2 linked regions of the Saccharomyces cerevisiae S288C genome follow. The protein of the gene in region 1 binds, or shares a complex with, the protein of each later gene. Each region holds a gene or a part of one and is shown on either strand. Other genes may lie near its edges. The genes, in order: PRE7 and PRE4. A codon is read from its position in the direction of its gene.

What was found.
Region 2: the proteins of PRE7 (region 1) and PRE4 are in contact, whole or in part, in a crystal structure (PDB 4V7O), measured with the Saccharomyces cerevisiae proteins. Residues at the interface, in NP_009512.1 of Saccharomyces cerevisiae: Gln20 (codon at 5,854), Phe21 (codon at 5,857), Asn22 (codon at 5,860), Pro23 (codon at 5,863), Tyr24 (codon at 5,866), Asn27 (codon at 5,875), Asn48 (codon at 5,938), Ser53 (codon at 5,953), Ile54 (codon at 5,956), Asn55 (codon at 5,959), Ser56 (codon at 5,962), Arg57 (codon at 5,965), Tyr58 (codon at 5,968), Glu59 (codon at 5,971), Phe76 (codon at 6,022), Ala78 (codon at 6,028), Asp79 (codon at 6,031), Asp81 (codon at 6,037), Ala82 (codon at 6,040), Lys85 (codon at 6,049), Lys119 (codon at 6,151), Phe122 (codon at 6,160), Tyr124 (codon at 6,166), Glu237 (codon at 6,505), Arg240 (codon at 6,514); in NP_116708.1 of Saccharomyces cerevisiae: Thr34 (codon at 6,864), Glu127 (codon at 6,585), Thr131 (codon at 6,573), Tyr134 (codon at 6,564), Arg137 (codon at 6,555), Ser138 (codon at 6,552), Met140 (codon at 6,546), Pro142 (codon at 6,540), Trp144 (codon at 6,534), Arg161 (codon at 6,483), Leu165 (codon at 6,471), Leu166 (codon at 6,468), Gly167 (codon at 6,465), Val168 (codon at 6,462), Thr169 (codon at 6,459), Tyr170 (codon at 6,456), Ser171 (codon at 6,453), Ser172 (codon at 6,450), Thr174 (codon at 6,444), Leu175 (codon at 6,441), Ala181 (codon at 6,423), His182 (codon at 6,420), Arg189 (codon at 6,399), Asp193 (codon at 6,387), Arg194 (codon at 6,384).

What each region holds. Positions count from the first base shown.
Region 1 is NC_001134.8:135,451-152,768, forward strand, and holds PRE7 (proteasome core particle subunit beta 6), read left to right. Parts: upstream 1-5,796; coding exon 5,797-6,522; downstream 6,523-17,318. Other genes in the region: ubiquinol--cytochrome-c reductase subunit COR1, read right to left, coding at 1-66; YBL044W (uncharacterized protein), read left to right, coding at 548-916; ECM13 (Ecm13p), read left to right, coding at 1,238-2,011; FUI1 (uridine permease), read right to left, coding at 2,891-4,810; ERD2 (Erd2p), read right to left, coding at 6,662-7,299, 7,397-7,418; MIN6 (Min6p), read left to right, coding at 7,943-8,122; CTP synthase URA7, read right to left, coding at 8,539-10,278; mitochondrial 54S ribosomal protein uL16m MRPL16, read left to right, coding at 10,737-11,435; APL3 (Apl3p), read left to right, coding at 11,759-14,836; YBL036C (pyridoxal phosphate homeostasis protein), read right to left, coding at 14,997-15,770; and 1 more. UniProt on the Saccharomyces cerevisiae protein: Non-catalytic component of the proteasome which degrades poly-ubiquitinated proteins in the cytoplasm and in the nucleus. It is essential for the regulated turnover of proteins and for the removal of misfolded proteins.
Region 2 is NC_001138.5:242,904-251,545, forward strand, and holds PRE4 (proteasome core particle subunit beta 7), read right to left. Parts: upstream 6,964-8,642; coding exon 6,163-6,963; downstream 1-6,162. Other genes in the region: MRX20 (Mrx20p), read left to right, coding at 1-96; centromere-binding protein CNN1, read right to left, coding at 171-1,256; BNA6 (nicotinate-nucleotide diphosphorylase (carboxylating)), read right to left, coding at 1,376-2,263; RMD8 (Rmd8p), read left to right, coding at 3,243-5,231; alpha-ketoglutarate dehydrogenase subunit KGD4, read left to right, coding at 5,620-5,991; RET2 (coatomer subunit delta), read right to left, coding at 7,260-8,642. UniProt on the Saccharomyces cerevisiae protein: Non-catalytic component of the proteasome which degrades poly-ubiquitinated proteins in the cytoplasm and in the nucleus. It is essential for the regulated turnover of proteins and for the removal of misfolded proteins.

The sequences.
Region 1 (17,318 bases):
TACAGCTGTAGCCAAAGACCTCTTGAACTGGTTAGATACAGTCTTTGAAGTTACTGTTCTTAGCATTTTTTTTGTTTATATATCTTGTGTTTTCTTTCTCAGTGATATGGTGACGATGATGTTCTTCTCGTATTATTACTCCACAATTGTCTTGATCAGCAATGGTAGCAATTTAATATTAGGATTCGTTACCTATACGAACAGGGATGATATAATATTTTTTCTGTGAAAGCTATTGCTTTATTATACGCTGTTTTCCTCGAATAAGACGGGGAAAGAGAGTAGGGGAATATCGGTTAGGGAGCGCTGTAGGCCTTTAATTTTCTTGTTTGGTTTTTATTTGGTGCAGCTGACAGCGCGGGCCCTTGAACTTCTGGAGGACAAAAAACACTGTTAATTTATTGGCATTTCATTGGTGCAGAAAGCGTGCTGTCCGGGTCACAGTTAAAGTTCATATACATGTTACCCTACCCAGTCCGGGTTATGTAAATCGTGAAAAAGAATATCTGGTTTTAAAATCTCTCTTTTCTTTTTCCCCCTGGTGGGTATGGGTGAAATGCTAGAGAGGCAAAAAAAAAGGTTGCCAAGTAAAGCGAAGTATTTGAAGTATACTGCAAGCATCACCGAAACAGGAAATCACGAAGCTGACTCATCTGTGATTTTCCGTCCCCACCATAGTGATGTAACATGCAGTAACGCACGGCGGGCCGAAAGTCGGACTTTACCCCAGATTTGTAGTTGTATCCTATTGGATCACGGGCGACGGACAAGACCCGAAGTGCGGACCGGCATGGTCAGCTTGCACGGAAGCTTTAAGGGTTTCCCTTGTTTCGGCATTAGAAGAGGCATTTCGCACGTTTTACCGGGTCAGAAACTTCGAGGAAGCTGTGACAATTGGAAAAAAAGGCAAAACTAAATGCAATGTATCCGGTTGCCCATGCATTATTTGTGATGTTTTCGGATGTAGTTCGCTGCGCTCCGCGGCGATATATCCTCTAGCGAGAGGCATATGTATAAATATATATATATATATCTAACAAAAGCATTCAAGTTTCTTTCTCTGGTGTTACGTCTTTGTTCGACTTTCTCTGCTTACAGCCCTGTATGACCAAAGAAAAAATAAAAAGACAGCTACATACCAGCAGAAATTTTTTATAGTATTACACTATACATCCAAGTTTTTTCACAATTATTTATTGTTTTTCTCACATAGAAAATTCCGCATACTGCGATTATAATGAACTCTACAACCCCATCGATTCAAGATCAATATATTTTGGCCAGCAAAGTACGCTCCAAGCTGGCAAAATGCGTTAGCGTGACTACTAAAAACAAAGACTACAACCTGAGAGTTTTAGTCGGGCACGCAAACTTGCTGGATAAGATTACAGAAAATGTGGAAACTCATAATGCTGCAACCAACGCCCTTGCCGGAGACCCTTTCAGTAAAGGACCTGAAAACTTGTCCATCGAACATATCGAATTGTCCAATGCTAATGCTAGTAAAAATGACGTCGGTAAGGAGGAAAATGCAGAAAAGACGATAGAAAGTGAAGATTACTGTGATTTTTACTCTAGTGACGAAGATCCAGATGCTGACACTCTATCTTCTACTGACAGTGAAGACGATGATGATTATGAAGACTATGATTTTGAGTACGATTACTCTGGCGGTGATTATAACAAGAAAATTGACATGTACTTTAGTTTTCACACCGCACCTAATTATCAATATTTGACTCACACAAACTCTCATTCCGAGCAGACGGATGAACTTGCCGAATCAACGCCGCGCTACAATGCTCTTCCCGCCACTGCCTCTACGACAGAGGAAGAACAGGACACTGAAACGCTCGATGCTGTGAGTTTGCATAGTTCAGCGCCAATCTTCCGTGTGCTCTCTCGGCGGGTAAATGGACAAGAAGATGACAGCGAAAACGAGAGTAGTAGCGATGTCGACGATGGTTCCGTACCATTAACGAGATTTCATTCTTGTCCTATCACAGCATAAATTAAAATGAAGGAAATAACACAACTTCGTTTTGCATTATCATATTCACATCTGCATCCTATTTTTTTTTTCTCATTGTTGTTGTATCATTATTACTAACTAGTGCATCACCACTTGTCTAAATACCAAACGCAAAATATATATATTCTTACTTCATAACGTTCAAAATAAAGTTTTTAGTTTAAAATAAAATAAAATAAAAAAAAAAAAAAAAAAAAAAAAGAACCTTTTGTTTTCGCCCAGTATATGGGTAAATTAACGGTTCCTTTTATTAGTCATTTTCAACTCTATACCATGCTCCAAAACGGCGTTCGGCACAGGTTTTTTATTTTACCACGATAACTCAATATGTACAAGATTATTGCATAGGCGAAAAGTAAAGTTTTAATATGGTACTTTGCGCAATAAAACTACGAATTCAAACGTAAAATAAGACTACAGAGACTAAGGTAAGACCTGTTCTGCTCAGATAAGTGGCGTTGTCCAAGTATCAGTTCTACGGGAACGTAAGAAAAAATTTTGCGTGAGCTCTCTTGAGAACCAAACCTTCTTTTTTTTTTTTACGAAATGCTATTTCGTTGCAGTGAGAAGGATTTTTTGAAAACAGAAATGAGTTAGGCCAGGCTGCTCGTACTCGCTTAAATTAGGAGTGCGAGACTGAAGACCTATGGTAAACAAGACTTTTTTTAACTAATCAAGCATGCGTAATGTTATTTTTACAAAATAAAGGTTACAATTTGAGATTATGCAGAAGCATATGTCTATATGTATGCAACAAATATGATGAGGCCTATGCAGATTATAAGTAAATTATTTTTTTTTTTTTTTGGCTTTGACATTATCATGATAAGGTGCTACTTGCGTTGTTAACAATTGTGTTTAGATATATCGTATCTTTTCATAGCCAGTGGAAACGCCGCCATATTCTTCAAAAGCTTCTCTTTCAGTTCCGAATTCTTCTACTTCGACCCACTCTTCGAGCCATTTACGGTCAGTTATCTTGGCATCGCCTGGAATACCCTTAATTGGGTAAAAATACACTAAAATGCAGTAACTCAATGCTGCAAGGAGATAACCAACGAAATAGTTTAGGTAGTAAACTTTCATAGCGCCAATAGGCACAGAAACTCCCACTGAACCTAAAAAGCCTGCAAAATTAGGAGCAATACCAAATATATAAGCTACCACCGCCCTCCAGTTCGTACCATATTTATTGTACATGTAGTACGATCCTGGCTTGTCGGTGTAGCAATGGAAAATATTAACGTAACCCTTTCTGACAATGAAGTAATCGGCTGATATTACACCCGCAATAGCACTTAAGAAAACTGCATATGCCGCTAGTGCCGTAGTAAACTTTGACGATGATGATAATAAATCCCAGGGGCAAATCGCCAACGATATTAGAGCACAAATATAAGAACCGCGTCTGATATTGATGAATTTAGGCAATAATGCAGTCAGATCGGTACCTGCAGGGATCGAGTTACCAGACAAGTTGGCACCCAGCTGGTCAAACGCAAAAATGAAAGATATTAAGAATACACCGGCTCTGTTCCCCGAAGTATAGTTATCCAAGTACCTGTTCAGAATGTCTAGGGGACTCCAATAATTTACTCCGTACAATGTATAAGCTGCGGAGACAGACAATATTCCGATTAAGGAAATAATGGCATAGCAGACGGGTAGCGCAATCAATTGCGAGTAAACAGATGACTTGTAGGTCTTACCGAATCTAGTGAAGTCAGGAGCGTTTAGGATTAAAGTAGAGAAGTTATCCAGAGCACTCATAATAGCTCTAATGACAGACCATGCTAAAACCGTCTTGCTGATTGCGCCACCATTGTCATTTAGGGAACCCAATGCCAAATGACCTTTGGCCTTACAAAGAGTCCAAATCAAAAAACCGAAGGCCGCAAATGGAGTGATGGCGGATTTGAGTGCAAATATATGACGCAATTTGTCAGGTGGAAACCATAGGAACGGTAAACATGCGACCCAGAAGACCATGAAGCACATGAACTCGAAGTTCGTCAAATTGGGGTTCTTTATGGTGTCTTTGATTCTAGTATTCAAATTAGTACCGAAGATAGCCTTTAGCATCAACTGAACACATTGACTACCGATATAAGCCAAAGTAGAATTCCAGACACATGCCATGACGACACGGTTGATGACAATCCAGATGGAGAAGTAGATACCAAATGATACTCTTGAGGAAATGGGGAAAGAGATATGGTAATTGTTCCCCACTTTGGAACCCAGTATCAAGAAAAATGCGACAAACGTGTATCCAACCCAAATACAGATCCAAGTCTGCCACCAGTTAAGCCCTAACTGTAGCCCAGTGGCTGAGATTTGCCATGTATTGACGTTAAAGGACCCAGAAATCCAAAAGAAAATGTACTGCTTCCATGTCCACGTTCTTCTTTTTGCCTCCACGGGCCGCAGATCTGTGTTGTACAAGTACGTCGAACGGAGGGACTCCTGTAAATCTTTAAATGTCCTAATTGGATTTTCGGGCTTATGATCGGCCAAATCGGTAGAGTCATTCTTAACCTCAAAAAACTCGACAACTCTTTGCAGCCAAGACACCTTTTCGTCATCCTGAGCAATGGTTATATTGTTTTCTGAATCGGTATCTTTTTTTTCAATGACATTAGCATCAATCTTAGAAGTAATTTTAGTCGCATCACCCATCTCGGACTCTTTCGTGATTTCTTCGTAATCCTCCGTCGGTATAGTGTCGTCCTTCATTGTTTTTGAAGAATTATCGAATCCAGAATCAGATACCGGCATTTTCTCTTATATAGAATTAATGAATGAGAGGACTAGTTACCGCCTTTTATTTCCGCAATGTGCTGCAAAGTAAAGCAAAGCTGTCCAATACTATGTTTTAAATTTTACAAGAAGGTCGAAGCAATACTACTGTTATATAAAAGATAGGATAGCATGTCATCGAGTAATTGAGCAAGAGAGGAAATGAAAAACTTTTCCGTTGGAGAATTGATCAAAAATTTTCAAAAATACGACATGTCCCTGTGTTGTCCAGGCTGACACAATAGTTTCAGTAGCGAGAACCGCCAAGTTTTATTGCAGCATCCTTTAATGGCAAAGATGGCGCGATAAGGACGAAACCGGCAAATCCCGAGCATCAACCACAGTGAACGCCGCGGAGAAACTCAAAGGCGAAAGGGGAGAAAAAAAGAAATTAATGGCACATACCGCTTTGTGGCATGGCTCAATCACATTTCTTTTTCTTCTTTCTGATCGCCCGCAGGAGAGGCAGCGCCGTTTGTGTCCCATCGCAAGGACAAACTAGCTAGGACATGAGACTTCTAAGCCGTTCAGTCGAAAGAGTTAGGGCATTAGTCTCTAAAGATAAGTGTGGGGGCTTGGTTGAGTCTTGATTTAAAAGCTTGGAGTAGGCATTTTACGATCTATTTTCTCTCGAAATAAAGTAAAGGTATTGCTGCAAAGGAATTGCCGTAATATTTAAAACTTCTTGCTTAAGTGATGTAAAGGCAGTGAGGCGATAGCAATGTTTCGTAGAGCCTGTGACTAGTGAAGCATAGGCAATAAATTGTTTTTTTTTTCTGATTTTGTATTGCCGTCTCTGCGTCGCAGAGATTTGGTGTTCGTACGGAGCGATAATTGTTTTTATCTTTTCCAACTTAAAGGATCGAGGAAACTCAAAGGGTGGCAAAAACAAGCGGTATAATACAAGGTGAACTGAGTTGGAAAGAGAGTAGCCAAGACTATTGAACTATAAAGTTAAACAAAATATGGCCACTATTGCATCAGAATACTCTTCGGAGGCGTCAAATACACCCATTGAACATCAATTCAATCCTTACGGTGATAATGGTGGTACAATCCTGGGCATTGCAGGTGAAGATTTCGCAGTGTTAGCAGGCGATACAAGAAATATCACCGATTACTCAATTAATTCTCGTTATGAACCCAAGGTTTTTGATTGTGGTGATAACATAGTCATGTCGGCGAATGGATTTGCAGCAGACGGCGACGCTTTAGTAAAAAGATTCAAAAATAGTGTAAAATGGTACCATTTCGACCACAACGACAAAAAACTATCTATAAACTCTGCAGCAAGGAACATTCAACATCTTCTGTACGGGAAGAGGTTTTTCCCTTACTACGTTCATACGATCATTGCGGGTCTTGACGAAGATGGTAAGGGCGCTGTCTATTCGTTCGACCCAGTTGGCTCCTACGAAAGAGAACAGTGTAGAGCAGGTGGTGCTGCGGCATCATTGATCATGCCATTTTTGGACAATCAGGTTAATTTCAAAAATCAATATGAGCCAGGTACAAACGGTAAAGTCAAAAAGCCTTTGAAATACTTGTCCGTGGAAGAAGTCATCAAACTGGTGAGAGACTCGTTCACTTCTGCTACAGAAAGACATATACAAGTGGGTGATGGGCTGGAAATCCTTATTGTCACCAAGGATGGTGTAAGGAAAGAATTTTATGAGCTAAAAAGAGATTAATGCATACATATCATAGTATAAAAAGAAATAGACCAATATCAACATCAATTTTATGTATTTTTTTTTTCTTTTGGTATAGCATTGATATATTGAAATTTGTATATATTGCTGCGAACACTATTTAAAACAGGTTTTTTTTTTATTTTGGCAGTTTGAAACCCTTTCCTCTGATGACTTTAGTGTAGTAAATGTAAAAGAAATCAGAGTACAACAGAGTTTGCAAAAGTCCCGCGAAGAAGGCAATCTTGTCCAATTTTTTATCTTCCGTGCTGTACCTCCAAATCCAGTTAGGAATATACAATGCTCTGTATAATCCCATGGCAAAAATATAATGAACAGTTAGACTTCTAGTCTTCCCACCCTTAGATAGCATGTACAATTGAGGTAGAATAGCCACACTCTCCAACCATACAGAAAAACTCCATGCTAATTCAAGAAAAGTGAACTTGTGATGGAAAAAAACACTCATTAGAGCACTCCCAATTAGTAAATGCTGGATCTTAAAGGTATCATGCATAAGCATTTCATTATACGCAATGGTGTTGGTTCTTTTAGACCCTTGTAATAGCACTACAATGTAAGCGGTAGATACAATGAAAAATATTTTCATTAGAGCATTGTATAGGGATACCCAGTGAAAAGTCAAGAGATCCAAGTATCGTGTTATGAAAACCAAAGCGTACAACGTTTGGGTCTTGAAAGAAATACCTTCAATGTACCTTGTGGTCTTGATATTATGAATCAGGATCAGTATACTGGTTAGATGTGATAAATCACCTGTCTTGATGGTCGGGAAAAAGCCCTTTCTCTGTTAGTAAGATTGGGTTCGATCTACGGCGGGAAAAGCCTCATGAAACTCCAAATAGTAACATACCTAAGATTCTAAACGGATTCATTGCTTACTGATTATGCCTCAACTTGCGCGTATATCTCACTCTTGAACAAGTGCCCTCAGCAAATTCATCTGCCTCGAAATTTGAACTTATTTTTAACGTGTTCAATATTTAGCTAAAACGTCGTTTTCAGTCCGGGTACCGCAGATAAGCCATCCCGGATCTTTAAAGGAAAACGAGGAATTCAGTGGTGCAGACTACACTTTAATCTCAATTGACCAAAGTGAGTCCTCAAGTAAGACGAATATTATTTTTCTTTCACGACTCAATTGAATTCCTAATAACACTTTTGTTTGCTGTATTAGCTTTTAGCTTTGAGAGCGATGAAGCAAGAGAGAAAAATAAGGGTAGAAAAAAAAATTAGAAATTGAGGAGGGGAAGGTATTCTAACCTGGTGAATTCCCAGATACATAAGTATAAGAATTTCTCGGCAGAGATTATATACAATAAAGAATAAGGTTCAGTTGGACGATTGCGATAGTAGCGTGAATAACAATTTACTTTAATCAATCGTTAGGATACTTCTAATGGGCTTTTTTAACAATAATCCGGTAATTGAATTCTTCCACAGAATAACGAGAAAACCCAGTACCATTGCGATGTGGGTGTTTGCTGGTCTGATTTGTTCAAGTACATTTTATTTAATGTTCATGTCATCACCTACAATCGACTTCAACTCGAAGAGTAAGAAAAAAAATGATAAATAATCTCCCTGTTCAGTACTTTGGTAAAAGCACGCCATGGAAAATTATTTAGAACTTCCTTATACAAAACTAAATATTTGAGCATATTCTATATTCATACATAGATACATTCTTTGAATTTCAAGACTCTTATTTCTCATTTTGAAAGCCAAGATTGGAGGAAAAATCGTAAATTTTTATCCAGTCAGTAACAACTGTTGGCCAGTCGAAAACTCTATCGAAACAGCTTCTATATGTCAGATAAGATAGATTTATTAAATTAAATATATTCAGGAGAGGAAAGACAACATGAACGAAAAAAAAAAAACAGTGTAGAGAAGCACTACAAATATTTTCTCTTCCAAAAAATATAATATACATAAAAAAATTAGAAATTTATCTTTGTTAATGCAGTAGACTTTTAATTCTAAAATTTTGATTTAAAAGTTGAATTTGTTTTCGCCGGCCTCAAGATCGTACTTACCTTCAATGACATCTTGAAGGATACCAGCGGAAGCAGCAACTAAACCCAAAAATGGTTTGGATGGATCTAAGACCTTTGATGTGTATTCTGGGTGATATTGAGTAGCAATATAGTATGGGTGATTCTTTAATTCCAAAATCTCACAACGCTTTCCAGTGTCGTCCTTACCTACAAAGATCAACCCGTTGTTTTCCAATTCATCAACCATCTTTGGATTGATTTCGTAACGGTGACGGTGTCTTTCATGGACTTCGGAGACGTCACCGTATAACTTCTTGATTTGACTCCATTCAGTTTCATTTTGGAAAAATGTTGGTCTCAAACCTAATCTCATTGAGCCCCCCATGGTTTCCTTGTCAATTTCAGGCATGAAAACGACAACGTGATTTTTTTCATCAATGTCTGGATAAAATTCTGCCGAATGACTGTCTTTTCTTCCCAACACACTACGTGTAAATTCAATGGTGGCAATTTGTAAACCCAGGCAAACCCCTAAGAATGGAATGTGATTTTCACGAGCCCATCTAGCAGCCAAAACCATACCTTCAGTACCTCTAACACCAAAACCACCGGGGATTAAGATACCGTCTGCGGTACTGACCATGTTCCATGCTTCATGAAATTTAGTTTTGTTGCTTTCTTGTGCTTCAGGTTCCAAATCAGTAGCTTCCACCCATTTAATGTCTAACTTACGACGACACTTCATGGATGAATGTTCCAATGCTTTTATCACTGATAGATAAGAATCTTTCAAGTTGGTGTATTTCCCAACCAAAGCAATCTTCACTGTTTCCATGGATTCATCGAAGTTACCTGTTGTGGCCTTCCATTTAGACAATAATTCCAGGCCTCTTTGTTTTTCTTCTTCTGTAAGTGATATTTCATCTAACTTTAATCTGGCGTGTAAGTAATCAATCATCTTTTGTTCCAGTAGCAACAATGGGACGTGATAAGTAGAATTAACATCGTGAACGTTAACCACCTGTTCAGGCCCCACATGACAAAACATGGCAATCTTATCGATTGTTGGTTTATCCAAAGTTTCACTACATCTACAGGCGATCATATCTGGAACTAAACCAAGAGACCTCAAACCTTTGATGGCAGCTTGAGTTGGCTTAGTTTTTTGTTCACCGTGGATGACAGGAACTAGAGAAACGTGTATCAAGGCAAAATTTTCCTTTCCAACTTTAAATTGGAATTGTCTTAGTGCCTCCACAAAAGGAGCACTTTCAATGTCACCAACTGTCCCACCCAATTCAATGATACAAACATCTGGTTCCATACCGGTGTCATCTACAGGAATTTTGGCCACGCGCTCAATCCAATCTTGGATAGCGTTGGTCAAATGAGGGACAATTTGCACGGTTTTGCCTAAATAGTCACCTTTTCTTTCCTTAGCAATAACGTGCGAGTATATTTTACCAGTAGTAATGTTATGATCTTTAGTCAAAGTAACTCCAAGGTATCTCTCGTAGTTACCCAAGTCCAAATCTGTTTCACCACCGTCGTCAAGCACGAAACATTCACCATGTTCCAAAGGAGACATAGTACCTGCATCAATGTTCATATAAGGGTCAATTTTAATTGACGTAACCTTTAAACCGAGGGTTTTCATTAGCATACCAGTTGAAGATGCAAGAACACCTTTACCGATACCCGAAATGACACCACCTGAAACAACAACGTACTTCATTTTCTGTCTATAAGTTTCTTTTGTTCTATTGACCAATTCACTGAGAAACTGCCTGAAACTTTTTCGACCTTAGAATGGCAGAAAAATGGCAAATACTGTAAAATACTTAACATTTAACTAAATTTTATTCTATGCTTTTCCTCTCGATGAGATGAGCTGTGAAAAATTTTGAAAAAAAAAAAAAAAAAAAAAAAAAAAAAAATTTGTTATCACCAATAACGAGAAACCTAACTCTAAAACTTAGGGTCAAAGAACAGAACCCTAGGCTTTGTATCCAGTTGAATCACTAATTACGAAAGAATGCTGGTGGAAATAATAATATCATATTGGTGCTCAAATAACAAGAAGACTTCTTTGGAAGAAATTATTACCAATTAACAGTCCACTTGTAGAGCGTACATATTGCCGGGAAGTTGATTACCTTTCACCAGAGGTACAGAGGAATAGAATTTTGCAACATGTTCCCCTATTTAACAAGAATGAATTTATCCATAAAGATGGGAGGGCTAACTTTAAAAGAAAGTTCCCCCAATGCTTTTTTAAATAACACCACTATTGCTAGGAGATTCAAGCATGAATATGCCCCACGTTTCAAAATCGTACAGAAAAAGCAAAAAGGTAGAGTGCCAGTTCGTACAGGTGGTTCAATAAAGGGATCCACTTTGCAATTTGGTAAGTACGGATTACGACTGAAAAGCGAAGGTATTAGGATATCCGCGCAACAGCTGAAGGAAGCAGATAACGCAATTATGAGATATGTCAGGCCTTTAAACAATGGTCATTTGTGGAGGCGTTTGTGTACAAACGTTGCTGTATGTATCAAGGGTAACGAAACAAGAATGGGTAAAGGTAAAGGTGGGTTTGACCACTGGATGGTGAGGGTACCCACAGGGAAGATCCTTTTCGAAATAAATGGTGATGATTTGCATGAAAAAGTCGCACGGGAAGCCTTCAGAAAAGCAGGCACCAAGTTACCTGGGGTATATGAATTTGTATCCTTGGATTCTCTGGTTAGAGTTGGATTACATAGTTTCAAAAATCCTAAAGACGACCCAGTGAAGAATTTTTACGATGAAAATGCAAAGAAGCCATCAAAGAAGTATTTGAATATTTTAAAGTCTCAAGAACCACAGTACAAACTCTTCAGAGGACGTTGAACGGATTGAACACACCATGTATACATGTATATAACTATTGAAAAATATCGATATTCACAATCAAGTAATCTAGCCATGGCTATGAGTTTATTAATTCTAGTATGCACTGTATACTCTCTGCGGAAGAATAGGAGTTTTTCCCCGGAGTGAGCGCTGAAGAAACACATGACGACGTGAAAAAACACTTGTTTGATCCAGCTGAGGTATAAACACTGAGAAATATTTGAGGGTCAAAGAAGCACTAGGAACGTTACAGTTGGAATTTGCTAGTCAATCGAGTTTCCAATTTCGCAACCTTTATTATAGTACTAATCTTATAAGCCATGGATCGCAAAAAAACACTTATAAACTCAAGTGTTTCTAATAATAACAGTACCATCAAGGGCCTACAGTTATTCATTGCAGATCTTCGTTCTGCACAACAAGCACAAGAGCAGGAAAAGAGAATACAATCTGAAATTGTCAAAATTAAACAGCATTTCGATGCTGCAAAGAAAAAACAAGGCAATCACGACAGATTAGGTGGCTATCAAAGAAAGAAGTACGTTGCCAAGCTAGCCTATATATATATTACTTCTAATACGACAAAACTAAATGAAATTTTATTCGGGTTGGAGCAAACGGTAGAGCTGTTGAAGTCCAGCATATTTTCTGAAAAATTCATTGGATATATGACCCTTGAGTTGCTTTATGAACGTAGTGAAGTTGTTGCCAAAGTTAACGATGAGGTGAATTATCAACTGATGAAAGATCTCTCTTCTTCCGATGATAATTTCGTAATGTTGGCGCTGAATTTTGTTGGTGTAGTAGGAGAACTTACGAACCGTCTAGCGTACAACGATGATATCACAACAGGAGTATTCAAGATATTAAGATCACCGACCTCCTCCATTTATCTCAAGAAAAAATCAGCATTGTCATTTCTAGCACTATTGAAAAGTAATCATTCTATACTGACCGAAGATTTACAACGTAAGCAACTATGGATACAAAGGATATTAAGCTTATTGGATGATACGGAAAACTATAGGTTAACTTTAGCTACGATTCCGTTAATAGAATTCATTGCAAAATACATTGATCCCAGTTACTGTACGAGACTATTACCACAGCTAACAGAAATTTTGTACAATTGTGTTGTTGTTGGTACTTCAAGATCTAGTGACAATCAGTTTCCGTTAGAATATACGTTCGCGAATATGCCAAATCCTTGGCTTATCACAAAAGTTGTCTCTTTGTTGAGCATATTGATTGCCTCACCAACTGAGAGGGATTCTGGCTCATTACTACAAACCAACAACATAGATAATGAATTACTAAATAAACTTCGAAAGTGTGTTTCCGTTGCCATCGAATTAGGAACCAGACAAGCTCAAGATCCCATGGAACGTATCGTCCAAAACACAGTATTGTTTTCATTGATCAATTTCGCCTCTAAGCTAGATCCGTCGGATGAAGCTATCAGCAATTCTGTGACAGCCTTATGTTCCCTGCTAACATCTAAGGAAATTAATATTCGGTATTTAACGCTAGATTCATTGGTCAAATTATGCTCATCAAGCGGGAAACCTGCAATTGATGCCGTTCGTTACAAGAATTTGGATATGATTTTTCATCTTTTGAACACAGAAAGAGATTCATCTATTGTTAGGAAGGTTGTTGACTTGTTATATACCTTTACTGATGTTGAAAACGTTAAGATTATTGTGGACGGTTTACTGCAGTATATTTTATCTCCGAAAAATCTTGCTGAACCGCAAATAAAATCTGATATTGCAGTTAAAATAGCTATTTTGACCGAGAAATATGCCACGGATATCAATTGGTTTGTAATTATTTCGTTGCAGTTGCTATCATTAACTTCAAATACAACTATTAACGATGATGAGATCTGGCAACGACTATGTCAAATTGTAGTGAACAATCCATCTTTACATAGAATAACATGTGAACGGTTGGTGGACTATTTATGTAAAAAGCAAGCATCTGAAGCTATTATTAAAGCTGCGGCTTTTCTACTAGGGGAGTACTCAAGTCTCATAACAGACAGGATTTCAAGCGCAAATTTATTTACTTTGTTTGCCGAGAAATATTTTAGTGCACCAAATGTGGCTAAGGCGATGATATTGACTACGATGATCAAGTTGTACAAGACCTCACCTGAGATCGGCTCCAACGTCATCAAATTTTTCCAATTGGAATTGAACTCTCTTGATATTGAGTTGCAAACAAGATCCTTCGAATATCTCAACATTATTCAACTGGCTAAGGTGAACGGAAATACAGATATTTTGCAAATTTTATTTGAACCAATGCCGCCTTTTAACAGCAAATCTAATCCATTATTGAAGAGATTAGGGTCACTGCCGGCATCAGCGGGTAGCACAACTTTAATAAATACACCATCCGAAGCATCCTCCTCCACGCCTGACTTACTATCAAAAAGAGCAAACTCTTCCAGGTCGATCATGGTTCCCATGCCCCCACCATCTCGTAGGAACACCATTGATGATGTAAATTCCAAAATTAGTTCATCTGAAGACTTTTCAGGAAAGGACTCTTATTATTCAAGGCAGATCCTCGCTCCAAATTGGAGGGAAGGTTTCACAAGAATGATTTCGCATAAGCAGGGTGTGCTTTTCACATCATCTTTGATGAAAGTTTTCTATCGGATAACCACTCCTGATGCACAACAGCCATACGTGTTTCATATATCTCTTGCCTTCATTAACCTGACTGAGTGGGAAATCACGGGATTATCCACACAGATTATCCCTTCAAAAACGCAAGGTAATCCTGAGTATTTAATTATGAATATTAATACACCTTCTACTGCTACTATTGGGCCCCATAAAAGGGCAGAGCAAAGCTATGAAGTTTCAATAAGAAAACCTTTCGACGTTGAAGATAGTCCAATTTTGGCAATTCATTTCAAATGTGGCGGTAGTACAAACACTATCAATTTGAAAACTGCCATAGGCATGACTACAACACTAATTAGCAGCGATGTCAATCCTAGCATGCATTTGAATTTGGCACAGTTCATCAGCCGTTGGAAGACTTTGAGCGATGCTTTGGGAAAAGAGGGAGAATACCAAAAATCTGGCATAAAGCTCAACAAGGATTTTAGAAAAGTTGAAACAATCAGTTTAGAAGACGGACTTCTACTATTGACGCAAACAGTGAAGAGGTTGGGCTTTGATATAGTCGATCAGACCAGTGTTCGTAGTACATTGTTTGTCTCGGGTATTATTCATACGAAAAGTGAGGGAAACTTCGGTTGTTTAATGAAGATACAATACCAGGTAAATGGAACAGTTAATGTTACCTGTAAAACAACGACGGCCGGTCCCCTGGCGAAGTACATTGTCGAATGTATAAAGAATGTGCTTACGAAGTAAAATTTTCTCAAATTCACTATAATGAAAATCATCCGCATTGTACATATATAAACACACACACACATATATATATATATTTGAGATTCTATTTATTTTCATTTTGTGTTGTAATGCTATAAAAAAAAAGATCTTCGTATAAAATCTCAGTTCATTCAACCTACTAAATGATTCTAGCTTCATTTTTTGGAGGTCTAGCACCAAAAATGTCGGTACCAATTCTGACTTCCGCTGTTCCTTGCCTTATAGCCTCCCTGAAATCAGCACTCATCCCCATAGACAATTTCAATGATGTACCAAATTTAGCATCAATCTTCTTCTTCCACTCAACCAGCGTAGCAAAGTCTCTGTTTTCTTTGCTATCTTCATGAGAGACGTTCCATGAACCAATAGTCATTAACCCATTCAACTTAATATACTTGCATTCTTCGGATAAGAAGAAGTCGATGACTTCAAATATTTCTGCTTCATTATTCAAGCCCGATTTTTGATCCTCATGGGAGGTATTAATTTGAACATTACACAATATTGGGTTGCAATCTGGTTGAAATTTAGCCCTCGATTCGTTTAATTTTTTGGCTTTCTTCAAGGAGTCGATTGTTTCAACAGAGTATAAATTTGGCACTTTAGCCAAATCTTTACATTTATTCGTTTGCAAACCGCCAATAAAGTGCCACTTGATATCGTCTGGTAGTAATTTTGCCTTTTCGATCAACTCTTGAACATAGTTTTCCCCGAACTCCCTCACACCATGGTCGTAAAGAATTTGTATATCGCTAGCTGGTTTCAATTTCGAAACAACCAATAATAAAATTTTGGAGGCATTTTCATTAACATGAACATTTTTTGCCTCTGCATTCACAACTTCCCTTACAGATTCGTATTGGGCAATTAATTGTGTCTTTCTATCTTCATCATAAGTAATACCAGTGGACATATTGCAATGTGATGCTGGAATCTTAGTCAAAAAGGAAAGAGTGATGCCTATCAGTTTTTTTTTTTATTATGCATTTAAGAGTAGTCTCTACTTATGAACATTTTCTCTGGCCTCTGATCACGTTACTTTATTACCCGGATACTGATCATGTTATGGTCTTTAATCAATAAGTAAGTTATAGAGCCAGTTTCAAGGTCGATAGTTCAGGTGTATAACAATACTTTTTGGTGCTACCTTGAGCTATTCCATTAGTTAAGTTTGAATTAAATATATCAACTAGCAATCAAGTCAACTCTAGCGCGCTTCCACACGTTGTGTAGATAAACTGGCTCTTCACCTTCAACAAGCGTCAATTTCCCGTCTTCAAGATCAGGGCATTGGACAGTAATTTGTGCATAGGATCCCCTGTTACCTGTTGCTCTAATAAATCTTCCGGGATTTATAACAACTACGTTTTGGACAACTCTTGCAAAGTGTTGTAATTCACTGGGTATAATCATTATGTCAGGCGAGAACCCACCAACAAACTCTGTTAGTCCCAGATAACTCACGTCTAAATCTGCACCAGATATATGTTCATAAACTTTTTCTTCTTTGCTTTCCATATCATTGGTTTCCTTCTTCGTAGATACGTCTTTTGGTTTTATTCTTGTACGAATACTACCTGGAAATATGGGGTAATACCTGCGCTGTTGTAAAATATGCTCAGAAACACGATCTAATCTATATCTTGATGAGGTAGTACCGCCTTTTATGACTTCCTTTAGATCTTTGAATGTATCAACGTTTGAGCAACCGAAGTATATCTCATTTATTTGAAAAGATGAAGGATTAGCCATGCATTTGAAGTTCCTTTTAGGCAGCTGTAAAGCCTTTCTAATTAAAGAAGCTTGTGGATATGCGGCGTGATTAGAAATTGCATCTTTTGTGGAGGGTATCAATACGGTTTGGATATGTGGTGATATGGTTTTTAGAATAGGAGTAAATAACTTCAAAAAAAGCTCGTCCAATGTTTTGGGCTGTGTCTTGAACTGGGGAAAATTTGGCAATTTACCACTCGCTATCAGAGGATGGGTGATATCTATAAATGGGCCAAACATTATCAAGACGTGAGGTTTTACCTCATTATTTATACTATCGATAAATTCTTGCAACAATTCGAGGGAGAAGTTATCATTTGCAAAGTATGGGCCACAGGTCACGATAACCTTCAAAGAAGAACCTTCCAAATTTGCTTGAAACTCCTGCAGTTCCTGCGATGTGGACACTGGGGAGTTTGGATAAGGTAGCGGCAAAATAGAGTTAACGGTGAAGTAATCCCCATTAGCATTTTTACCTTTGAATGCCACAATTTGGCCTAAGAAAAACGAAAGCTCGTTGACCTGCGATAGATCTAACCTTACCCTTCTTCCAACGCCGCCCATTCTTGAGGTCTCTAGGGAAAGCGATTCTGGATTCAAAAACTTGTCGTAGGTCGGCGAATCTGGAACTATCCTTCCAACAGCATAAATTTCGGACTGAGATTGAATAGTTGGATCAGCGAAGTCG
Region 2 (8,642 bases), on another chromosome or scaffold:
ATCTTTAGGTTTATGAAAGTCGGTATTTCAGGAGGCTTAACGTTCACTGTTTATGAACAGGTTAGTTTGTTACTAGGCTTCTCTTCCAGGTCTTGATAATTTTGTGGATCTTTTACTCTTTTCTGTACATAAATTGCCACTATTTAATTATTTTCTCTACGGTATCTTTTTTAGAACAAATAACTTTCAATTCTTGATTGAAGTTCTAAGGGAAGCAATTCGTGCGCGAGCTCAAACATATCATCAACGTTATTGATAATACCCATATCGATAAACGAATCTACCAATTCCTGTTTTTGTAACGTGCCGATTTTTTGTTTCAAGAAATCCATTATATTTAAAGATTCCTCCTGTATAGTAGACCACGTTTGTTTCGGCAATATTATCCTATTCTCATTCAAAAATTGCCTTGTAAGATGTTTTAGATCCATTATTTGCAGCGGTTTTATAGAAGAACGTCTCACCGCAGGGACATTTAAACGGATAGGATCGTTGCCTATATCATCCAAATTTTCGTCACTGGTGTTTTCAAACGAATAATCTTCGTTTTCTGCTTCTTCTGTCTCCTCTTTATCGTCGCTTGGTAAATCTTCAGATAGTGGTTCTTCCTGTTGCGTTATGGAAATTGGTACCGGATCACGTACTGGCGGTTCATCTACCTGATCCATTCCAATGCTTGGCGACGTGCGCAAAACTTCCATAGAGATACTGTTAGCTTTATCTGGAGAGTGCACTGTCAATTCATCCTCGTGTCCTGTCGTGGGAACATCTTGTATTATTATCGGGTCAATCTTCCTACTTTTCAAGCCTTTGTCTCTTTCCTGCAATTTTGCAAATACTGTTTGCGATAAGGAAGTATAATCAGGTTGCGTTTCATTGCCAATGTTGTTATCTGTCAGTTTCTCACTTCTGCTCCGAAGAAGCTCATTCTCCTCTGGTTGGCTCTCTTCGTACGCTAATTCATCTATTAGATTCCGTGCTTGAGTTTTATTAGTAGTTGTATCGTTGCCTTGTGATTTGCGTGCTAACACTTGGCTTAAGTCTTGTAAAAAACTTCGTACTTCGTTCGGATCTTTATTGAGGATGTCATGAGACTTAGTAGAAGCAGATAAAAGTTTTCTATAACCTGGCGTATTTCTGATCAGTACCTCATCCTTGAGACGTTGTTCTTCAAGGGCTCTCTCCCGAAAGGGGGTTCTGATCTCTGAGACTTCTGTATTCTCGTTGTTACCGGCGGCCTTCCTGGGAGTGCTCATTATTCATTTCTTATTTCGTTACTAATCGTCGTGTGTGTCATTAATCGGTAACGCGTAGCTTCTTAATCTTATTTAGAATATGTAAATAAAAAAAAGTAAAAATCGAAGCCTAAGCATTTTCAATGAGCCAGTTTCAATGAGAAATCAATCACTGGTGTGCCTTGATGAATGCTACTAGTGCTGTAAATGTCAATGTCATCGCACAAATACTCCTCGAGGTTGTCCAAATTCAAGCCTCCACTACATTCCAAGAGGAAATGCTTTTTACCATTCCATTTGTTCTTAAGACTTTGGGCGCACATTTTCAAACCGTCACCTTTGAAATTATCCAACATGATAACGTCTGCACCAGCTTCAATGGCCTCTGTGGCTTCATCTTCACTCAAACACTCCACTTCGATCTTCACAGCAAACCCGCACACGGCCCTGGCGTTCTTAACTGCGTTTGTTATAGAACCAGTAGCCCAAATATGATTATCTTTGAGCATGACCATAGAGGAAAGGTCGTATCTGTGCGTGTCGCAGCCACCTACAAGCATGGAATACTTTTCTAATCTACGTAAACCTGGTGTAGTCTTTCTTGTCCCCGCAATGGTCCCCTTGTAACCAGTCGAACGCGCCAAACTGATTATCTTATGTGAGGCGGTGGCAATTCCACTACTTCTACTAAGGATGTTCAAGGCGGTTCTTTCAGCTAATAGAATGTTTTTAGCGGGCCCAGTAATTTTAGCTACAACAATCTTACCAGAGTCATTCTTCGAAGGCTCCAAGAAGGAGCCTTCCTTAAACAACCACTCAACTTGCAATTCGCACTGATTAAAGACTTCTTGCGCAAAGGGGACACCACACAGCATACCATCCTGCTTACAGTACAAATTGGCCTCCTTTAGGTCGGAACCAACAACATATCCACCAAAATCAAAAGAAGGAACGTCCTCGCTCAGCCAATTGGTGACGTCTTGTCTCCATGCTCCATTAACGGGCAATAAGTGTTCATAAACAGGCATTTTTTTTTTTTGGTGTGTGTTCTTTCTGAGGATTGCGTTCTTTTTGTTGCGTTATTAAGTGGTGTCTTTAATTTTCGAATTTATGGCCCAAGATATACGAAAACTGCGGTAGGAGTCATGATAAATGGGGGCTCTTCAACCAACCGGCGTCACCAAAAGCAAAAATATCCTGGAGCGAAATATCACATTGTTTGTAACCAAGCTTGTACCTTTGACAAGTTAACTTACGTCTTGCCGGGGTTTGCTACTACGCATTCAAGTATATAAAACGTTGTGACACACAAGTTGATAGAAACCTCAGGATGTATAACTACAATTCTAGTTTCCATCTCATTAGTCCCAAATGACAATAAAAAAAATTACTGGCCATGGAAGATGACAAGCCGAATATTAGCTCCTTCGATCGAACTGTGCGTGGAGAAGAAGCTACTACTATTTAATAATTAGTATCCCGTGATTTTGAGCTGTCGCTGGCATTATGTACCTGACATTAGGTATTTAGGAAAGGTAGGGTAGATCAGTTTAGTACCTCAATGGGTGCGGAAGGTTAATCTTGAAAAATTTGCGATTAGTAGACAAGTTTATTCTCACAAGAACAAAATATTCAGTTCATTTCAGATATGATCGTGAAGGTGGAAATCTTTTTTTTAAAAATGAGAAGTGTGCCCAACAAAGAAGTAAAAGACAAGTTAGCTTTCTGTCATGCTTGAAAACTTTATGGAAGCCTGTGCATTGGCATTAGAGGCATCTCCGACAATCAGAAGAACACTTCTTGTTATTATAATTACCCATATATTTTTTTTTTTTTCAAATTGACTACTAGGAAAAAGTGACAATTTATAGTAAAACTGGCTAGAAAAACCTACAAGAAAAACAAAACCAGGTTAGGCATACATTAATACAAGATTATATCAATCGGAAGTTCGTATGCAAAATTGCATATGGAGCAAAGGAAAGGACTTCCATTTAAGACGACAGTATGAGTTATAAGGCTAACCAACCATCTCCTGGGGAGATGCCGAAAAGGTCACCTTCCATCCTGGTGACAGATGCAAGAACATCCAAGAATAGAATGAGTGCACCGTTCGCTGGACACGCTGCTGGTAGTAGGAAGAATATGGAAAACGCAGGAGTTACGAAGTCTCAAGGAGTTCGCTCTTCCGCTATTGGCCCTTCTCCGCTGCAGAGTTTTACTCATCCAAGAAGGCGATCGTCTGGCAGGTTTAGCGATATATCCATAGATAATATTCTTTCTGATAATTCAGATATTCCCTCTGCCAGAAGAGAGGAAAGGCTATCCAGCTCTTCAAGCGATAGGCCTCGCCAATATGAGCGGTTAAGTTCGCGTAGAAAGATGATCAATCCCCTGCCTCCAAGAACATCGAAGACGTCACAAAAGTTAGTGTTGATACCGGAAGACGACAACTTGAACCACTTTCAAACTCTACCAACGAACGCGCTGGATAGGCAAAGACCGAAAGTGGGCTCTATGAAGTCTAATTCCTTCGATCGGCTACCTCGATACTCAAAAGAAAAGTCCATGGCAAGAATCACCGCATATAATGTTGCTGATGGCTTCAATCTCAACCAATTGTATAAGTTTCTGCAGGAAACTCATGAGGTTTCACCAAGATTGTATGATGAGTGTCTATACGTTGCGTATACTTTGCCACTTCTACCAGGTAAAGGCGGTTTTAGAATCAAATCAAATTTATCTAAGAAAACAATGGGTGGAAAGACATTAATTGATAATTTAATTGATACAAGCGAACAGAGAGATCATCATTATGAATATTACTCAGGTGTGGAAACTGTGGAAGATGCAAATAATAATTACGAACTAGAAACCAGTGGAAATAACAATAACGCTAATCAAGACACCACAACAGTTCCCGATCATCTACCAAATCCAGTTGGTCAGCAAGACTCTTTTAATCCTATGGAACCACAATTTTTTGCGGAAGAAACTCCCTTAGAGATAGAGAAACGGGAAAGGACAGAAAGAATAAACATGCTGAAGAAGGAGGAAAACGACAGTGATGCAAGTTGTGGCAACGATAATAATAATAAAAATAATGATAAGAGTAAACTTTATGCTGTTGAGGGAAACGATCAGTATGTACAGTCCTCTCGTTCACCAGCTTCGCCATCATCAATATCTACGCCATCGCCACCATCTTCATCACAGAATGATTTTGATCGTGTATATAAAATGCATAGGGACAACGACCATGAAGGCAATGATAGACATGCAGAAATTTTCATTTTTCACTATGGCGTTATTGTTTTTTGGAACTTTACTGAAATTCAAGAGAAAAATATTCTTGGTGATATAACATTTGCAGATTATAAGAATTTAATGATCCGGCCGCTGGATGAACAAGATATTGAAACTGAACAATTCCATTTCGAATATGACAGAGATACCGAGAGACCGAGAATTTTCAATGATATTGTCACATTACGTTCAGGTGACCACATTATCGAGCTGACACTATCACATGCGATTGCGCAATCTTCGAAATTATCAAGGTTTGAATCCAGAATTTCGCCGATTTTAATATCAGTCACAAAACTACCTAAAAGACTAGCATTATATGGTACCCTTGGGTTAAAAAGGGAACAGCTTTTGAAAAAATCAGGGAAGCTCTTTAAATTGAGAGTGGATGTTAACCTTTCATCCACCATATTGGATACACCCGAGTTTTTTTGGTCGTTCGAACCAAGTTTGCATCCACTGTACGTGGCAATGAGGGAGTATTTAGAAATTGACCAAAGAGTACAAGTATTAAATGATCGTTGCAAAGTTTTCTTGGAATTCTTTGATATATGCGTTGACTCTGTTGCTGAAAGAAACATGGCTCGTGTTACATGGTGGTTTATTCTTGTCATTTTATTTGGAGTTATATTTTCATTAACAGAGATTTTCGTTCGTTATGTAATTATTCATCGTCATACTTCTACATAGATATTCATACACCCTTCTAGACGGCATTAAAAATAAATTAATGATATATTTAGTTATCAAGGTTTTTAGTCATATATTTCACCGTTATTACCATTCTTGGTCACGTGCAAGTAAAACCACTCGTTGATTGGCTCCCCTCAAGATTGCATTAAAAGTACAATAATATGACTAAGGGACTCGAATATGTAAATTCATCTTTCGCATCAACAAAGGAGAAAAAGACGATAGTGAAGACTAATATTTTAGCCAGATTGCAGTGTTTCAGTGATCTTAAAAGTCTTTTTCATTTCTAGCCGCATTGAATTCTTTAAAGCAAACCATTAAGGAGTACTTCCCCAGGTTTTTAACCGATAATAAGAGTAAGATAAAAGTACAAGAAGACAGGGAAATGATTGCTACACCTATAAGATTAGCAAAGAGTGCATATGAGCCGATGATAAAATTCGTCGGTACAAGGCATCCCTTAGTGAAGCATGCAACTGAGGTCGTTGTTCATCCTTGCGCTACCAACGGAATGTTACCTGGCAGCAAAGAGTGTATTCCAGTGAGTAAATTCATGGAAAATTATAAACCATTCCGTGTAGTGCCAATAAAGCATAGCGCTAATGCTGGTCTCAGCTCGTCAAAGACCTCTGTATTCGTTAACAGGCCATTGCAAAAAGATGAGCTTGCTTCCATTTTCGAGCTACCTGCTAGGTTTCGGTACAAACCTATTAACGAGCATGAATTGGAGAGCATAAATAGCGGTGGTGCATGGTGAAGGATAGATGCAGTAATATTATGATTTTTTTTTGTTATTTTATAGTTTCTTTACACATATCATTATATCTATGTAAAAACGTAGTTACTTAGGAAGAGAGAAGAGTGATGATATTATGAATTGAAAAATAAAAATAAAATGAGTATTTAATGAAGGTGGGATAAAACTCTTCTAAATTTTTTGAGTACCGTAGCCTTTAATATCCTTGGCGAAGTCCCATTTCATGTTTTCAACTTGCAAGTTTTTCTTGAAAGTTAAACCTGTGTTCTTATCAATTATGGCCAGTGAGAAGTTTCTAGAAGAACGGGCATCTCTATAATAAAGAACTCTCATTGCATTTACGATCGCCTCTTCAGCAACCTGTACAGTGGTCTTTGGAATATCAGATTCTCGATCTACAACTTTCCTTAACAGTGGGTTTGCCATGTGTGCCCCAAAACCTGTGGCCAAGGTGGGAGACGAATACGTAACACCTAGAAGATTTACGTATCTTAGGAATTGATCACCATTAGACTGTACACCAGCAACAATGATGGCATTCCAAAGTGGATTCATCTTTGATCTTCGCTGGTACATGACGGTAGCTAGATATTCAAAAATATAGCTGGGTTCGAGCGCTTCTTCAGCATCCGCTAGAGGATTGTCATACGCATTTTCAGTGACTAGATCTTTCAATAATCTCTCAATGTGTTGCATATCAGAAATATCACCTGAAATGCCCACAACGGTGTTATCACCCACGGGAATAAGCCTCTCCACGCCATTGAATCTTAGAAGAGAGCCATATGAACCTAAATTATCTGCTGCAATGATAACCCCATTATCATATTTCATTGATATGACGGAAGTACCTGTTACTATTGGTTGCTGTGTATTAACCATGGGAGAGGCGCCTGCGTTCGCAATTTGTGTATTGTAAGCACCATAAGTAGAGTCTGCGGGCCTGCCCCAACTGAAAGGATCGTGATTCATTCGTGTGGGTTTTTATGTTGTTTTCGGCGGAAGATGAAGGATTCCTGCTGCTTATCCCCTTTCTTAACTTAGCTGTACTTTACTATGTGGGTACGTATTTAAGGTGGCAAATTCTAAACCAAGAAGCTGGAACATCTTTAATAAAAAGGATTGACGGGTAACCCTAAAAGGAAAAATAATAAAGAATAAGAGTAAGTTAAACTATATATATAGAAGGACGAAAGAAAAGATACCTCGATTTTTATTTATTTAGTTTGTGTATATAACTTAAGTATTTTATATGTGAATGTAACGTACTATTGGACAAGATATTCATCTGATTTCAAAGAGGTGATGACGTCGTAAGGGAGCTCTTGATCGTGGTCATTGGCCATGACAACAGATTGTATGGCCATACCGGTGAAACTCTTAGCTAATTTATCCCTCGTGGACTCTTGGAAGGAAACGGTCATTGGGTACAATGCATCTTCATATGGAGCTTCGATAGTGAATGCTAGCGCACCTGCATCGTTGGCAGCAATTTTGCTAATCTTAATGGAGGTTCCCATTTCTTGGTCCATGTTGACAACTTCAGCGTCAGAGCATGTAGAAGACTCTGTATTTATGTCTACTGGCTCCTGAGGGAAAACTGGAATGGTGAAGATCACATCAGCGAGTTCTGTTTCCAGGACGCTCTCATACTCAATAATGACATCAAAGCCCTGTTGTGATTCGGAGGGGGAAACCCATGTAGTTAGAGTTAATGGAATTAATGAGTCATCTTCTGCGGGAGCGACTTTACGCCATCTTAGAACACCCAGGCTTTGGTCGTTGGCTGGGAAAGCCTTAGATTTATCACGCAGGGAGATAAGTTTAGTGGATAGGAACGATTGTTTATCTATGTTTGGATGGGTCTTAAACTGGAAGGATTTATCGCGAACGTCAATAGAATCAGCTAGTTTTAGGTTCGAGTGAGATAAGTCATGGTCATTAATTCTTAGTTCTAAAACACCTTTCAATTCAGAAGAGTGAATGGTACCATCTCTGGAGAATTCTGCATTGATTACCTCCTTGATAGAGATCAAAATACCATTGTTCTCTGGGACATCCTCCTCCGGAGGAGGTGGAGTGCCAGAAGAGGCTGAAGAAATTGCACTTGGCCGTGGTGCGGCACCCGCTCTTCTTCCGGCACCACCACCCAATTTCATACCGCCAGTAGCAGAATGTCCCGCACGCTGAGACGTAGCCATTGGGGAGGCCACTGGGGCCACCTCAGCAGCAGCGGCATGGGAACTTTGTAGATAAGACTGTTGTGCTGCAGGAGAAGCATGGGAGTAGTAACTGTTGATGGCGTTTGTAACGTTAGGATCTTTACTTCCCATGAACCTATTGGCGCCGTCGTAATCGCCATTTGAAGACATAAACCCGTGTTTCCTTTCATGTTCTTTTCTAGCAATTTCCTTAGCACGGCGCTTCCTCTCCTCAGTAGCTTCGATCTCTTTATTACGCTCAATAATTTCCTGGATTCTTTCTTCGTGCGACTCCATAGACAAGTATGTTTGCACTTGAGTAAAGGACAAGTTCTCTTTGTACCCGCCCATTGACACGATTTCGTCGAACGAGGACAAGATCTCAAAGGCATTGTGAAAAATCTCTTGGTCTTGGAAACTAGACAAGTAGGAGTTGATCGTCTGTGAAAA